Nothobranchius furzeri: one gene and its partner. The protein of the gene in region 1 interacts with the protein of each later gene in a biochemical or structural test. Links are inferred from orthologs where the notes say so. Each region holds a gene or a part of one and is shown in the gene's direction. Other genes may lie near its edges.

What was found.
Region 2: the proteins of dcaf11 (region 1) and slbp form a complex in vitro, tested with the Homo sapiens proteins (2 studies listed by BioGRID, with this or other methods). The link is inferred for Nothobranchius furzeri from reciprocal best matches to the Homo sapiens genes DCAF11 and SLBP.

What each region holds. Positions count from the first base shown.
Region 1 is NC_091747.1:42,041,682-42,050,042, forward strand, and holds the start of dcaf11 (DDB1- and CUL4-associated factor 11), read left to right. Parts: upstream 1-2,956; 5' UTR 2,957-3,178; coding exon 3,179-3,507; intron 3,508-3,997; coding exon 3,998-4,125; intron 4,126-4,636; coding exon 4,637-4,755; intron 4,756-4,906; coding exon 4,907-4,971; intron 4,972-5,063; coding exon 5,064-5,164; intron 5,165-5,575; coding exon 5,576-5,722; intron 5,723-8,361. UniProt on the Homo sapiens protein: May function as a substrate receptor for CUL4-DDB1 E3 ubiquitin-protein ligase complex.
Region 2 is NC_091741.1:108,905,954-108,912,825, forward strand, and holds the end of slbp (histone RNA hairpin-binding protein), read left to right. Parts: intron 1-647; coding exon 648-752; intron 753-845; coding exon 846-959; intron 960-1,029; coding exon 1,030-1,101; intron 1,102-1,739; coding exon 1,740-1,862; intron 1,863-3,096; coding exon 3,097-3,258; intron 3,259-3,328; coding exon 3,329-3,455; intron 3,456-3,540; coding exon 3,541-3,612; 3' UTR 3,613-4,049; downstream 4,050-6,872. Other genes in the region: immt (MICOS complex subunit MIC60), read left to right, coding at 4,797-4,838, 5,162-5,229, 5,305-5,494, 5,971-6,115. UniProt on the Homo sapiens protein: RNA-binding protein involved in the histone pre-mRNA processing.

The sequences.
Region 1 (8,361 bases):
GGGGTGCGTCCTTTGTCCACTGCTCTTTTCTTTTTACACCAATGACTGCACCTCTGAGGATACAGCTGTTAAAATCCTGCAATTTGCAGATGACACCACTGTCATTGGGCTCATCCAGGATGGTGATGAGTCTGCTTATCAGCGAGAAGTTGAGAGGCTGGTGGTCTGGTGTAGTCAGCACAATCTTGAGCTTAACACCCTTAAGACTGTGGAGATGGTCGTGGATTTTAGGAAGCTTCCCACAGTGCTGTCCCCTCTCACAATATCCAACAGCCCAGTGTCAATGGTGGACTCATTCAAGTTCTTGGGAACTATCATTTTTAAGTATCTGAAGTGGGAGAAAACATTTACATCCTCAAAAAGGCTCAGCAGAGGATGTAGTTTCTACGGCAACTAAGGAAGTATGGCCTACCTCAAGAGCTGCTGATCATCTTCTATACTGCTAAAGTCAAATCCATACTCTGCTCATCCATCACTGTCTGGTTTGGGTCAGCCACAAAAATAGAAAAATGCAGACTATAGCGCATAATTAAAACAGCAGGAAAAATCATTGGTGCCCAACTGCCCTCTGTCCAGGAATTGTACACCAGCAGGACCAGGAAAAAGGCAGCGAACGTTGTCCAAGACTCCACACATGTTTTTAGAGAGCTAACATCTACTGAAGCTAAATTCCTTGTAAATGTAATTTTACTTGGCCAATAAATCTGAATCTGAGAAGCCAAAGATGAAAATGTCACAAGATTATTTACCACTTTGAATTATTTTTCTTGCAAACCACCTAGCTAGTTTTTTTTCCCAAATCTCTACGTTTCCACGTTTATTTCGAATAAATTGTTTGACAGAACTGTAGTATTTAATGAGTGTTGTGTTGCGGTGCATTGATGGTCTCAAGATATTCTATCAAGTGAAACTTTAGCTAGCATTTGGTTATCCAGTTGTTGATGACAACATCTGTTAGCCAAAAATGATTTAAAATTTTTTCCTTGTTGTTATCTAAGGATATTTTAACACAACATTTGACCTACAGTTACAAATAACACATTCTCATTTATTATATTCATACATTCATATAAATACTGTAAATCCTCTAATATTAGCCTGTATTTAATTAACTGCCGGGTATCACATTTTGGCCGGTGTCGGAGACGGCGGAGGTGAATGATGGCCGGTTTTTTATTGTGGCCGGGTGGAATGTGGTAACAAGCAAGTACGGGGGGCGGTTGAGTCATCCGTCTCACTTTTGATTTGCCAGTGATAGACCGCGAGGGTAACTTTAACCGTGCGGAGACGAAGAGGAGGCGAAAATTTGATATCAAGTTCAAAGAGAACGTGCTGATTATGCTGCAGAACACTCTGGGGAGCAGTAGCAGGGGTTGTATGAACTAGTCACTAGTCGACTTCACCGCTCTATAGTGACTTTTTATGCCTGTCATCGACTAGTCGCTGTCACGTGATAATGACCGGCAAGATGCAGTCCTCGGAAAAGACAGCAGCCTGCTGTCAGCAGGTGACAGGTGATGCGCCCCGATCCACAGCAGTGAAACGCATCAGGCACAAATAAAAGAATAAAAAACAGAAAACATAAAAGGAAATGAGCCGACATGAACGATCGCGTGTTAAATTAGTTTTTGAGGTAGCGACACCTGATTTGATAATGTTACTGTGGCCGTGCTCAGGACGCAGATGTCTGGAGCGCGTCAACAATCAGAGCTTTGCATGCGCAAGCTGGTTAAGGTTAGGATGGGGGTGAGGGGAATGTTAAATTGCAAGAGGGTAAACATCACAATTTGGTCAAATGTCCGTTTTACGGCGGCTGTCAATACCGACGCTCTGGCACAGCGCGTTGCCTCCCGTGGCCGGCAAGCAGCGCACACTCCGCTGTTTTTGCGGTCGGTAGATCTTTTAGAACTGCAGTTCAAAGGTAACTCATAAGGTGAATATATATGAACCCAGGTAGCAGTTTTTCTTTAGGATTGAGAGGAGATGTAGGAAGATAATAAACAGGCAGGACAGAAAAAAAGTCAAATAAAAACAAGTTAGTTTACCTGGTGGTTGCAACAAACAGACACCATTGAAGGTAATCAGAAGTGAGGAACAGAAAATGAAATAATTATTTTAATGTTTAGAGCAGCAGGAACTCCGAGAGGCTGCAGGCGCATCAGTGAGTTTGCGGCCGCTGCACAGGGGGAGGGGGGAGATGGCTGAAGCAGGAACTACCTTTGTTAAAAGAAATGTGTTTAACTTTGAAAATGTGGGCGCAATTTTAATTGTCAAAAACTCCAGCGAACCATTAGTTCATTTTGCTCAAAGAGAAATTGAGGCCTGCCTCTAATTCTGGTCCTCCTTCCAATAAAGGCCTGGAGCTTGATGAGCTTGAGTCAAATACAGACCCGGGCCTGTATTAGAGGATTTACGGTAATACAAAATATGCTTTTTGTTTTTGTTTTTTTCAGTAAAAATCGTGAGCATTTTCAGTTCTGTTTCTTGTGGGGAAAAAAACATTTTTGGTGTTCTTGTTATGTTTTGATGCTAATGGAGGCAATCAAAGATTGTGTCCTGCAAACTGTGGTTGATAAAACATTATTTTGTACACAGGAACTCTAACACATCTATGTTTAGTAGTTGAAAACGCGTCTTTTGTTTAAAAGTAGGCTTCTGTTGATTTAACACGATTTTATTTCAGGTTTAATACTAATTTGTTAAAACTTTTGCTGAACTTGTGTAAGTGATTTTTCAACCATCTCCTCGCCTGGATTCTCAGCCAATTGCGACATCACTGCTGGTCACGTGACGGTGAAAGTGCAGGAGGGGGGCACGCGCAGGGTTTTTTCGCACTTTTGTAAACAACATGGCGACCCGCGGACTGTTCCAGCGTTCCAGCTAGCAGACTAAAAAACAAACTCCACGCTGTTTGATCTCCAGTTTTCCGCGCAACAGGCTGCGTTCAAGTTCCGGTTCTAACATCAAATAAAGTCCACACCGGAACGAGAGAGTAGGCGGAGCGAGGAGCTGTCAGCAGGACAGTCAAACGGTAGCGGCTGTTGTTAGCTGTCGCTGCTAACTCATCCTTATCAGACACATCTTTAATGGTGACAAGCTAACAACACATCACAAATGTTCTGGTCGATTTCTTTACCCGAACCCGTAGCTTGCCTGTTGTAGATTCAGTAACTAACCGATGTCAGTCTGGTCCAGCTGCAATAGACCTCAGTGTTTTTGTTTTGTCTGCGCTCACCTGACTTCCTCAGGTAAACCTGAGCCTGTTCTTTTACATCTCTCTGCCAGGCCTTTTCAGTCTATGGGCTCTCAGTCCAGTTCTGGGATGTCTTGTGGAAGGGGCTCTTCCAGTGACAACCCAGCAGGTCAGTCTGAAGGAGCCGAACCGAACCAGAGCAGCAGCAGCAGTAACCGAGGCCGCAGGTCGGCAGACAGGCAGCTGGGAGACCGGCAGTCGGCTTCAGAGGAGGACGTAGACTTAGCTGAAGTTCTGGCTTATCTACTGAGGAGGTGATCTGTTATTAACGAGCTTCTAGGGTATTTTTCTTGTCTCAGCTCCATCATCAGTGATGTGTAACTCAAGGTCGTTGTAATTTCTGATTTCCTGTTCAGCTTCCATGTGTGAGCAGCTGGAGTCAGACTGGATGTTTACAGGATTACACACGTCACACATGTTTAGATTTAGCTTTTAAAGTATAGTATATACGATCAGATAGATGATGCTTAGAGTGTTTACTGCTTAAATAAGGCATCTCTGATATTTTTGAGTTTCCAATACCAAAACATTCCCCTAATTAAGATTCTGTTATTAACAGGAAACAAGTGAAAGCAGCAGATCAACTGGGGACGTTTTAGAAAGACTGAACATTTTTTAGCTTTCAGCCGATCTCCAAAATAAGCTGTGTTTACTTTAGTGTCCATTTAGGTGACAGCTTGACCTTTAACTTACTCGTTGCTGCTCAGTGGGGCCACATACTGAATGATGTTTGTGTGTGTGCAGGGGCCAGGTCCGACTGGTCCATGGCAGTGAAGCTACAGGACTGCAGCTGGTCCAGTCCTATTCTGACTCTGATGAGGACAGTGACGGAGCCTGGGATGGACGTCTTGGGGACCGTTACAATCCACCAGGTAACTCCTGACTCTGCTGCATTCACAGGCTTTAAGTTAGGAGACTAAAGTGTTGCTTACTAGGGTTGGGCATCGAGCATCGATTGGAACCGGTTCCAACTGTTAGTTTTTCCCAGAAATGTTCAAAGTTTTTTATTTTGATTCCTAGAATGCCAACCGGAAGAGGAATCCGCAGCCGATCTCCGTGAAAAATAAACGTGATCTGCAAATTGTGATCAACGCTCTTCAGAGCTGATCACACCAGCTGTCTTGTGTGCAGCACCGAGTCTGTTAATTATAGCTAGAGGGGTTTATTAAATGCTTTATTTGTTTTCATGGAGCTTAAAACCAGTTTGGCAGCAAGTTGTAAAAATGAAAGTCTGGAATAACACCGGACCAGCCCACGGAGCGTTGGACATATTCATACAGACTTCCCCATCACAATTTGAGCTTATACCTGAACATAAAGTATGCAGCTGAGATCCTGCCGTCAGCTCTGACCTCCTACTCAGACGTGATCTTCTCTCCCTAGTGGACTCCCAGCCCGACACACACGAAGTGGACCACAGTGAGATCCGAACTCAGATCCTCCTGGCCACGGCCTCGTCATCCCTGAAAGGCCGTCACAGTTTCACCCACATGCTCACAGAGGTCAGACCACACACTACAAACCTAAACCAGAGGGCAGCTCATTAGATATGTTCTATAAAAAAACTGAAGCATTTTTTTTTGTAAATGATGTGATTTTATAGTTGTTGTTTTTTAATTAGTTATAAACGTTTGTTCTTCCTGTTGTTCCCAGAGGGAACAAGGCAGGTGTAGAGGCTCCAGCTTTTCCCATGGAGAGTGCAGCCGTATCCGCACACAGTGAGAAGCAGTCACACGTCTGTTTATGACAAAAGGTTGAATTTCTGCTTGGATTATGTTTTTAGCATGAACCTTTTTTCTTTGTTTCTCAGCTTCCTACCAAATTATGTCTCCCACAAGGATTCGTACCTGCAGAAAGCTTTCTGTGGTGTTTACAGCGAGGATGGCAACACGTTCCTCTCTGCCTGCCAAGGTAAACAACACGACGTCTGACCTCAGAGCTCAAAGAGCTGAATTTGATCTTAAAATAATAATAAAAGTGCAGATTAACGTAACTGTTTATGCAGTCACACAAACACAACTATCACAGCTTTTATCATAATCTAACAGAACAAAAACTATCGTCCCTTAAAGCAGATACAGAAAAGGTACGTTTGTTTTAAGATATTATTAGAAGATAAATTAATCTTTTATTTCCTCACTCATGATCTTCTGTTTTGACAGAAGTGAGCAGACAAGTTGCTGCCTGTTTTCTGTCTCGTTTTTTTATTCATGTGCTTCTGCGAGCTCTGAGCTGACAGCAAGACACTGATGTAATGCTTCACCAATGCTCATAAATAACTGCTGCTTTAATCCATAAAAATGTAATAAATCCTTTTTTCAGATCAGAACATCCGCCTGTACGACACCTCCAGAGGACGCTTTAACCTGCAGCGGACGGTGAAGGCGCGTGATGTCGGCTGGAGCGTGCTGGATGTCTGCTTCACCCCCGACGCTCGCCACTTGCTCTACTCCAGCTGGTCCGACTACAGTAAGGCTAACCCCCAGAGAAAGTTCACCACATTGCTAAATATGGATTATTTAAAAATGGTAATGAGACTTTTCTGAAGAAGATGTAGCTGTTCGTGGATAATCAAAGCTCCGTCTCTCATTTATGAAAAAGTCCCATTTCCTTTATTTAAACACAAATACTCATCAAGTTGGGAGGGGAATCGCACCTGCTTTTCATCTTCAGCAAAAAAAAAAAAAAAAACTTACAAGGAACGAAAATAATTATAAGAGTGTGAGAAAGCATCACTGCAGGGAGCACTAGACTGCTTATCATGGTCTGTAATTTCTGTATTTAATCCTTATATAGTTGCATATTCGATATAGATATATATATATATATATATATATATATATATATATATATATATATATATATATATATATATATACCCTCATTTACCCTCATTCATCAACAATCTTTATTTTCTGATTGTGTAAATCCTAAAACATTAGGTTCACAGTCACACAAAACGTGGCTGTGCTGCAGTAAAAGCAGAGAAGAGCTGCTACGGAAGCTTGTGTGTCCACAGGTCATGTAAGGGGCTTAAAGTGAAAGTGTGTAGTTTCCCTGGCGATAGGGGGCAGTACATACCTAAATGATTGCAAGCAGGCATTACTTTTGTGTTACTTCTCCGTCAGCTCCACGAGGGAGAGACACGCACGCACAGACAGAGACAGTTTTCCCTCATACTTCTCCGTCTCCTGGAGAGTGTTGCAAAGCAATTCCCCGCCAGGACAACAGAGGGCGTAGCGCTGTTCTGTGGTATCCTGTCATGTATCCAGTCCAAGATAGTGTGTTAATATTGTGTTTTTTGTATTTAAAAGACTTTTTAACACAGAAAAATGTGTCCCTCATCCTCCACCTTTTCCTGCTCTCGCCACCTCTAAACCCACGTTTCCTGTCATTTCCATCAACAAATAAAACTCTTGCTGCGTATCTTTTCACTCCTCCAGTCACAGGTGATAAAACGTTCATATTTTTAGAGTTTTTCCGCAAGGCACCCTTGAAGCTGCTCCGTGTCTGCCGCTAGATATCCTCAGCTCTATTTGTGTTTTTGAGGGCGCAATGGCGGCGCTGTAGGCGACAGCGACATACTGACCAATCACAAGCTTGCGTTCTCCATCTGGGCAGACGGATGTTTAGAAAAGAGAGGTCGACTCCGTCCGTCCTTGCGAGGGCTCTAGCAGGCTTGCAAGGACTGAGAATTGCGTGCATGTGTCCGTCCCGACGCAAACAGAGAAGTATAAATTAGGCTTAAGACCTTACCAACGGATGGCCTTTAGGGTCAAAAATCCATGGGAGCTCAGCGTGCGAAGAGGTAAATGTGTTAAACAACGTTTATTAATGGTGAAGTTTTGTAACCGCTTGTTACAAATCAGGAAATGCATTTTGTCCTCACGGGCTTCCGTAGAAGGAAATATGGCATCCAATATGGCGCCGCCCAGAGACTTAGGCCCTGTCCACACGTAGCCGGGGATCTGCCAAAACGTAGATTTTTTCCTACGTTTTGGCCTGTCATCCACACGAAAACTGAGTTTTTTCACACGAAAACGGATCTTTTTAAAAACTCCAGCCAAAGTGAAGATCTGCGTTTTCTTCGTTTTGGGTGTCTGCGTGTGGACGGACAAAACCGGAGTTTTAAGATCCGCAACGTCACTTTCCGCGACAAAAAATGCTGACATCACGTGTGCGACCTGTGTTTACACTAGCCGACATCATGGAAGCCCTCAGAGCTGCGCTCTGTCACTACCCGATCCATCAATTGTCCAAGCGCTTTCTGCTTGTTTGTTTTTGCAAGCGGAATTACTGCTCCTTGCGGAAGACCACAGACGAAGGACGAGGTTAAGAACGGGGGAAGTACTGCCGCCTACAGGTCTGGCATGTCCTTAACAACGTATTTATCCGGGTACGTGTGGACAGAGTTTGTTTTTAAAACGCAGTGGTGTGGATGCAAGTTTTTGGAGGGGCGGATATTCGTTTTTAAAAAACCCCGGCTACGTGTGGACTAGGCCTTAGACCCGCTCCCATGTATTTTAGAACATATTTTTCAGGTTATATGTTATGAAACTGCCAATATTTTTCATCAACTGGGCTTCTTTTAATTCATTTACAACAACATTTTGGTGGATATTTCCAGAGATGAATGGTAAAAACTACACATTGTCACTTTCTGACAAACAATGGAGGCATATTTCCTTTTTTTAATTTCATACACTGTTGGTTTGTTTTTCCCTCATTCTGTCATCGTTTAATGATGACATCAGTGTTCACCTGTGAGGTAAACCTGCAAAAGTCCCAAAGAGTTCGACTCCTCATTAACACCATTACTGTATAAAACAAACAGACCCGACCTATAGCTTTCTGTGGGGCCTTTTTGAAGCCAAATCAGCGGGTCTCACCACCTCCATCTCATGCTACCTGTAAATCAAATCTAATTATTCATAATTTCAAGCATTTAATTCCACCTAAATGGAAGATGTATAAAAATCCACCCCCCTCAGAGTTGTCATCACTGTAAATTAGATCTATTAAACCTAAAATGGTTTATTGAACCAGGCTGTAAACATGTTTAATTCTGATGCGAAGTTGGCATTTTTAACATGGGAGTCAATGAGGAT
Region 2 (6,872 bases), on another chromosome or scaffold:
AACCCGAACCAGGACCGGTTGGTCCAGGGATTAGAGCTACCAGCCTTTGGGTCAGAACCATCGACATGTAGGGTCAGAACACACCAGCTGCTTGTAAGTACTCATCACAGTGGGCACCATTTGTCTTTGTTAGACCCCATCCAGAGACAGTGTCTTGTTTGAGACAGCTGTCCACTTTAGGGACAGGGTGCTCACCCTGTAACCGCAGAGTTGCAGGTTTGCGCCCTGCTCAATCTGCCGCTGTGCCCTTGGGCAGGACACTTGCAGCTCCACCTCTGGCAGTTAGCCCTGGTCTCTTGACATTTGCAGTAGCTTACAGAATGAGCCGTTTCAGGCCTCTCTTGGGCCACTCTTTTACAGGTAAGAGCAAAATATCATTTAGTCTGGAGCTCTGTGGCTGCACAGACGTTACGACTATAAGAAATCGCATTTCGGTCCCCAGGTCTATAAGCATTTTGATTTTTATGAATGGAAACGCTCAACGCTGTGAGCTCTGGATACAAGGGCTCTGCAGCAGGCCCACAGGAAGTGGAGCAGAAACCTGCGACTGATCAACAGCACCTCTCTTTAAAGAACATCTTACATCAGATGTCCCCTTAAACGCTACTGACTAGTAATATTCTAGCCTTCTTTTATATTTGTACCAGGAGCAGCGGCCCATCCCGGTGGTCCCACAGTAGGAAAAGAGGAGTTGATGGAAGTTTGCGGAATAACAGTGATGAAGATGGTGATGACTGGTGCAGACATGCCAGGTATGATCATGGCGCAGGTCCTCCTGACACAGCTCTTGTGAAATCTCTGATTGGTGCCACTGGTTTAATGGTGTGTGTGTGTGTCTTCTGTAGTTTCACCACCCCAGAGAGCTCTGGACCAGTGTCGAGATGTAGTCGGCCGACTGACTGGGGCAGCCAGGTGGAGGATGAGGAGATGAGGAGAGACATGCACAAAGACATGCAGCGGTAAGACGAGCTTTCTGCTGAACACCAGCTGGTTTCTGTTAACTCCGAGCTGACGTTCTCGACTCTTCAGTTACAGGAGGAGGATACTGGGTCCAGAGGTCACTCAGAGGGAGAGGAGAGCCTCGTCTGGCTCCTCTGGGAGGTAACCACCATGCTTCTGTTTAACAGCAGTCCAGGTGGTCTCTAGTCAGGGTATCCGCAGGTCCTTAAAAAGTCTTAAATTTGCTTTTCCAAATTTACGGCCTTGAAAATCCTTAAAAATGACAAATAATCCTTAAATCCAGTTTCCAAAGGTCTTAAATCACCAAAGACCCAATAAACAAGATTATTTTATTTCTATAAAAATTTTCATGAATTTATAGTTAGTGTTCAGCATTTTTTGTGTACGATGTTGGCATAAGCGGAACCGTACACATTCAGTTGGTTGGGAAAGGGGGCAATTTTTAGATGAGCACATTAGCTGGTTAAGCTAGTGGGAGCTTGCGCCATGGGGAAGTGCAAGTTTAATGGTAAATGGATGGCTAATCCCACGTTCACGACGTGGTTAGCACCGGTTCCAGGCAATAGCTGGAAATTATAGCTTAAATTTAATTTTAAAAATAGCTTAAATTTGGTCAAAGTGGCCTGAAAAAAGGTCTTAAAAAGTCTTAAATTGGCTCCCTTAAACCTGCACATACCCTGCTAGTAGCCATAAGCTCATGAAGTCTCACCTGTTCGTAGAAGGTTCTTCCAGCCAACGAGAGGAGGCGAGTAAAGGTGTGTGTTCTGTTTGTTGTGCAGCTGTGACTCCAGAGAGGGTGAGAACATGGAGACTGATGAATCCGTTCTGCTGCGACGACAGAAACAGATCAGCTACGGCAAGAACACGCTGGCCTACGACAGATACATCAAGGAGGTCCCAAAGTAGGTCACACCCAGAACCGATAGCAAAACCGGAACCCAGGTGTAGAGTAGGGATGTTCTGATCACAATTTTGAGTCACGAGTCATTTGATTGAGAGTATCTGCCGATGCTGAGTCCTGATCCAATATTTCTGCAAAACATTAAAATAAGAAAAAAATCACACATCCAAGTCGTCCCTTGAAGTATTTTTTAAAGTAGCCGCGTGGCTCTGTTCAAATCGTTTACTGATCGGTGCGCGTTCCCTCCACTGAACGGGCGGGTCTGGGCACAAACTGTGCAGAGATGTTTGTTAAAGAGCAAGTCACCCCCTACAAGAAACTTACTTCACTCCCTCTTCATGTTTGAAAAATGCAACAAATGCTGCTGCTTGGCAGACCGAGAGGGCGGAGCCGCTAACAAATACACACACACAGGCTCACAATGGCATTATGACATCATAATGTACCAGATGACATCATATCATACCTCTTAGCCAATAGCATTGGCAGGTTTAAATTCTAATACAGTGCACAATTTTTCTCTGACGACGGCGCAACACTGACAGTTTTAGACAGAATATTTGAATTTTAACCAAGATGCACTGAACTGCCAAACTATTGACGACACGTGTCTGTAGCATGATTAGACACTCCTTTATATAGTTTATCAGCAAAAAAAAATGTGATTTGGGGTGACTTGCTCTTTAAATAGTGACAGCTCATACCAGCTCCAGTGATAAATGATGGCCGTGCCTGTTGCTGGTCACAAACACGGGTCACACCCGCCAGCTAGTCCTGCTTCGTGTTTTTGTCCGAGTAGCTGCAGTGAACTGAGCAGGGTTTACTTTTAGGGTGGCGTTTCAGATTCATCGTGTTGACTACAGCTCGGCATGTTAAATACCCAGTGTGCACACACAACAGAGGCTATTGCTCCACCTCCACTGTCCAGCTTAAAATACGTCCAACCTGCAGACGTGTTCTCTCCGGAGGATACGCGTTAGCCTGTTGCTAACAGCTACATGTTCCGGTGTCTGAATCCCCCGTCTGTTGTAAATTGTGGGATGTTACGGTGTCGTCGTCTATGGATCTTGTCAACATTAGAACTAAGCCATCATAATGTTTCAAAATCAGCGTGAATACAAAAGTTCCTGCTTTCTGTTTTATGTGGTTATGGCCGACCTCTTAAAAATCTCTCTGATCGGAGCGCCCTCACCGTAGAGAGTTGTCCGTAAAACCTGGACCGTGTCTGCTTTCAGGCACCTGCGGCAGCCAGGCATCCACCCGAAAACCCCCAATAAGTTCCGGAAGTACAGCCGGCGCTCCTGGGACCAGCAGGTCAAGCTTTGGAAGGTCAAACTGCATGCCTGGGATCCTCCGTCATTGAGCTCCCAGAAGACAACTCCTAACAGCAACAGCAGGTAGGAGAACGTCAGGCTCGGAGGAGCCTCCTTGTGCCGAACCCAGCAGGTCATTTTGTTTTTCCTCCAGTCAGGAGCTGGACCCCTGTGAGGAGCTGGATTTTGGTGACGTCATGGATATCGAGTTGGACTTCCCTACCCTGTCGCACTCTGAGCACCCCCCCACCGCCCACTGGGTGCACGCCTCCTCTGTAACGGTGAGTTAGCGTAGTTACGAACCGACAGGTTAAACCTAACACTTTTTGGGCTCGGTTCTGAATCTGCTTGTTCTGTGTTGTTCAGGATCAAGACTACCTGGGGACCCCAGTTAAAGTCCAGAGGACAGAGAGCCCAGGGGGGCCTGACATGGTGTAGCTCATGGTTGGGGTTCCTGCTGAACTCCACCTGCATCTAGGAAGTGTGTTCTGGAGTCGTTTGGGTTCAAATATTTGTTTTTAGTCCGTAAAAAGGACACTTTTAACTTGGACATCTGCTCAGGGAGATCACTCCACCACCAGGTTTATAATTCCAGCTTTGACCCGTCAGGAGACTGCTGGGATGAGCCCCTGTTGTCCTCGTCTGTTTGTGTCCCGGTGGGGAGACGTCGCATCGACCTGAGTCCAGGAGTTATTTAAGGAGGAGCGACGGCGGACGGCTTGTAGAATATTTTGTAGAGCTCTGATTTGACTGTTGAGCCGGACAGTTTTACGTTTGCTGTTATGAACTACGTGTAATTTTAATATGTCCTTATTACAACTGTTTGTTTGTTTGCTTTTGATGAAGACATGAAAATAAAAAGAACAACCTCGTTACTGGTTCTGACTGGTGCCTGAAATCCTTGAGAAGGTCCGAGTTTTTATGGAATAAAGTACTTGGGAGGCATTCAGGTGGAAGTGAGTACGGGACGAGTTTGTTCTTGTGTACGTGTCGGCACTAGGAAACATGCTGGAACCAGTGTGTTTGGTGAAGGAGCTCACGATGGACCAGGTGGAGAACATCAATGAAACTTCATTTGCTCTCTGAAGACCACGGAATCGATCAAGGAGTGGAGGGGAACGTGTGAAAACTGGATCAGAAATTGTGACCCGGCATTCCCCTCCTGGGAATAGTTGAACGGAGAGCTAGAGAAGGTTCTGCTCCTACGGAGACCTCCACAGCCGAGCCGTGCCTGATGGCGGGAGTCGAGTGAGAATGAGAAGTCAGCAAGTGATGACTAGAAGCTGATGGACGGGACCGGTGGCAGTTGGACCTGTTTTTACTCTAATCGGGTGCGATGCGGGCCGGACCACAGTGTGGACCTTCACCATCTACTGCCAGGAGGAAGACCACCCGAGGACCGACAGGTAAAGAGGAGAGAACGTCCGCGTGGATGGAGCCATACTCCCCACCAGCAGGTGGCGCTGAAGACGGGTTGCTTTTCCACCCGGAAGTGAAGCCTGGCAGCGGGAGGAGGTTCCGGTCCGGTTCTGGTTTGTGTCCGCTGAGCGACTGTGTGAAGGAAAGTTGTCGTGGTGCCACCGCCGAACCCGCTTTGGACTCGGACCGTTGAAGCGAGGACCATGCTTGGAGTGTGCCTGCGAGGAGCCCACGCCACGGTCCGGGTAAGAGCCGAACCCGTCCTGTTAGCAGCTAGCATGGTGGGGTCATCCGGTGACCCAGCTCAAGGTTCCACGGTTCTCAGGGTTGAACAGAACCAGTTTTGTGCCAGGACATCCGGTCCAGTTTGGCGTCTCTGGTTAGCCCGCGGTTAGGCTTTGTTTACATTCCCTCCGGTACCGGTAAGGATTAGGGTCCGAACCCTAACGAGCACCTCTCAGGTGACCTGTGTGTTCAGAGATTTGATGTTTACAGGTGAGTTTAGTTGGAGGTGACGTCACAACCGTAGATGCTGCCTTCACTGTACCTGGGACATTGTGTGTTTCAGAAGAACTGTGTGAGAAGTCCTCTGACTCCGCTGCAGTCCTACAGGTGCTACTCCACCAGCAGGAGCAGGTAACTGACCCCTCAGGTGAGGTAAGGACACACCTCACAGGTAAAAACCTAACCGTCTGCCCCTCCCCATCACAGCGGCGCCTCCAGAGTGGTTGCTCTCGGCTTGGTGACGGTAGGCGGAGGCGTGGGAGGGACACTGCTCTACTCCAAATGGGACCCCAAGTTCAGAGCAGCTGTGGAGAAGAATGTCCCGTACTCTGATTGGCTGCTGGGCCTGGCTCTGGGACCAGCTCCTGAGGATGCCCGTCTCCCTGTGAGGAAACAGGTGAGGAGCGGAGGTGAACACCTGTTCACACGCAAAGTCCAGTTCCTGTCACCTGTTAAGGTTTTCCTGTGAAGTCCACCTGAGCTAAAGAAGGGGGCGGGGCTTGTTGTTTAGAGCGACGGCTCTCATCATTTGTGCTGATTTTGTCTTCGCTGTCTGGCGTGCCGCCACCAGAAGGCGCGGTTTAGGTGTTCCCTGAGCTGCTGCCACAAACTAGGGATTGTGATGAAAATGGAAGATCATCTCATGGTCACATGACGTGGCAGCTGTACCGTGACAAAATTCACTTTCGTCTCCCAGCAGAGGAAGTTTGGATTTAAGTAAACCATTTGAGCGTGTCGATGGACTTGGGGCTCAGGGATGATCTTGTAGGAGCTGGATTAGACTACGCTGCTAAGTTGTTTCGACGTGTTGTGGCTCAGTAGTTAGGAACAATAACATTATTTTTTTTATTATCTCTAATGGTTTCTGTTCAGGTGGAGTTGAACCAGCCACCCTCCATGTTGGATAAACCAAAAACGGATCCCAAAGCCAAGTCCCAGAAGAGTGTGAAGGAGGCAGCAGAGGCAAGTGGCCCAGAGTCCAGTCTGGTCCCACCACCGCCAGCTCAGAGCATACAGGGTAGGAGGTTCTCACCGTTTCTCAGCCGCTCCTGCAGAAGCTACCACAGATTAGCCGCTGAAGGAGAGCCAGCTGTGGAGCGCAATGAGCTTCATTTGGTGTTGCGTTTGGGCCAAGCGGAGTGAATAAACGCATACGAGATTTGATTATGGCGACGTTAAAACACGACAACAGGCTGGTTGGACTTCATGAATTACCTTGTAGATTTAAAACTACGCTGCCTAAAAGATGCTGCTTGTTCACAAGTGGTCAGAATAGCTGGTGTTGGGATCATTCTGGAAGTGACGAGTGTCAGGTAGTCTGAGGAGCCTGATGCTTGTTGGAATAATAATCCTCATTGTTAGTGATTCTGATCCACAGGTAGGATATGAGCTAGATGATTTAGATGATGAAAGAGTTTAGAGAGCGGTGCAGACCCTAAAGGACTCGTTGGTGACGGGAACAGACAGCAGGGTTGGTTCCAGGGTCAGACGGTGGATGAGCCGGAGACGAGGACAGAAATGGTAGAGAAGAGTAGTGCAGAACATGTGTGAGACAGCGGGGGGGGGGCACATGGGCGGTCAGTGACCTGTGATGTCAGGAGGTTATCTCTGAGCATGTGGGCGGGGCAAAAGAGCGCGGTGTAGGGTTGCAACAAACGATTATTTGGGTCATCGATTCGATTAATCAGATTAAACGGGAACATTTAACAATGGAACTTGATTAGATAACAGCTCAGTGGCGTTCAAAACAACACGCTGTCACCTAAATGTATCCT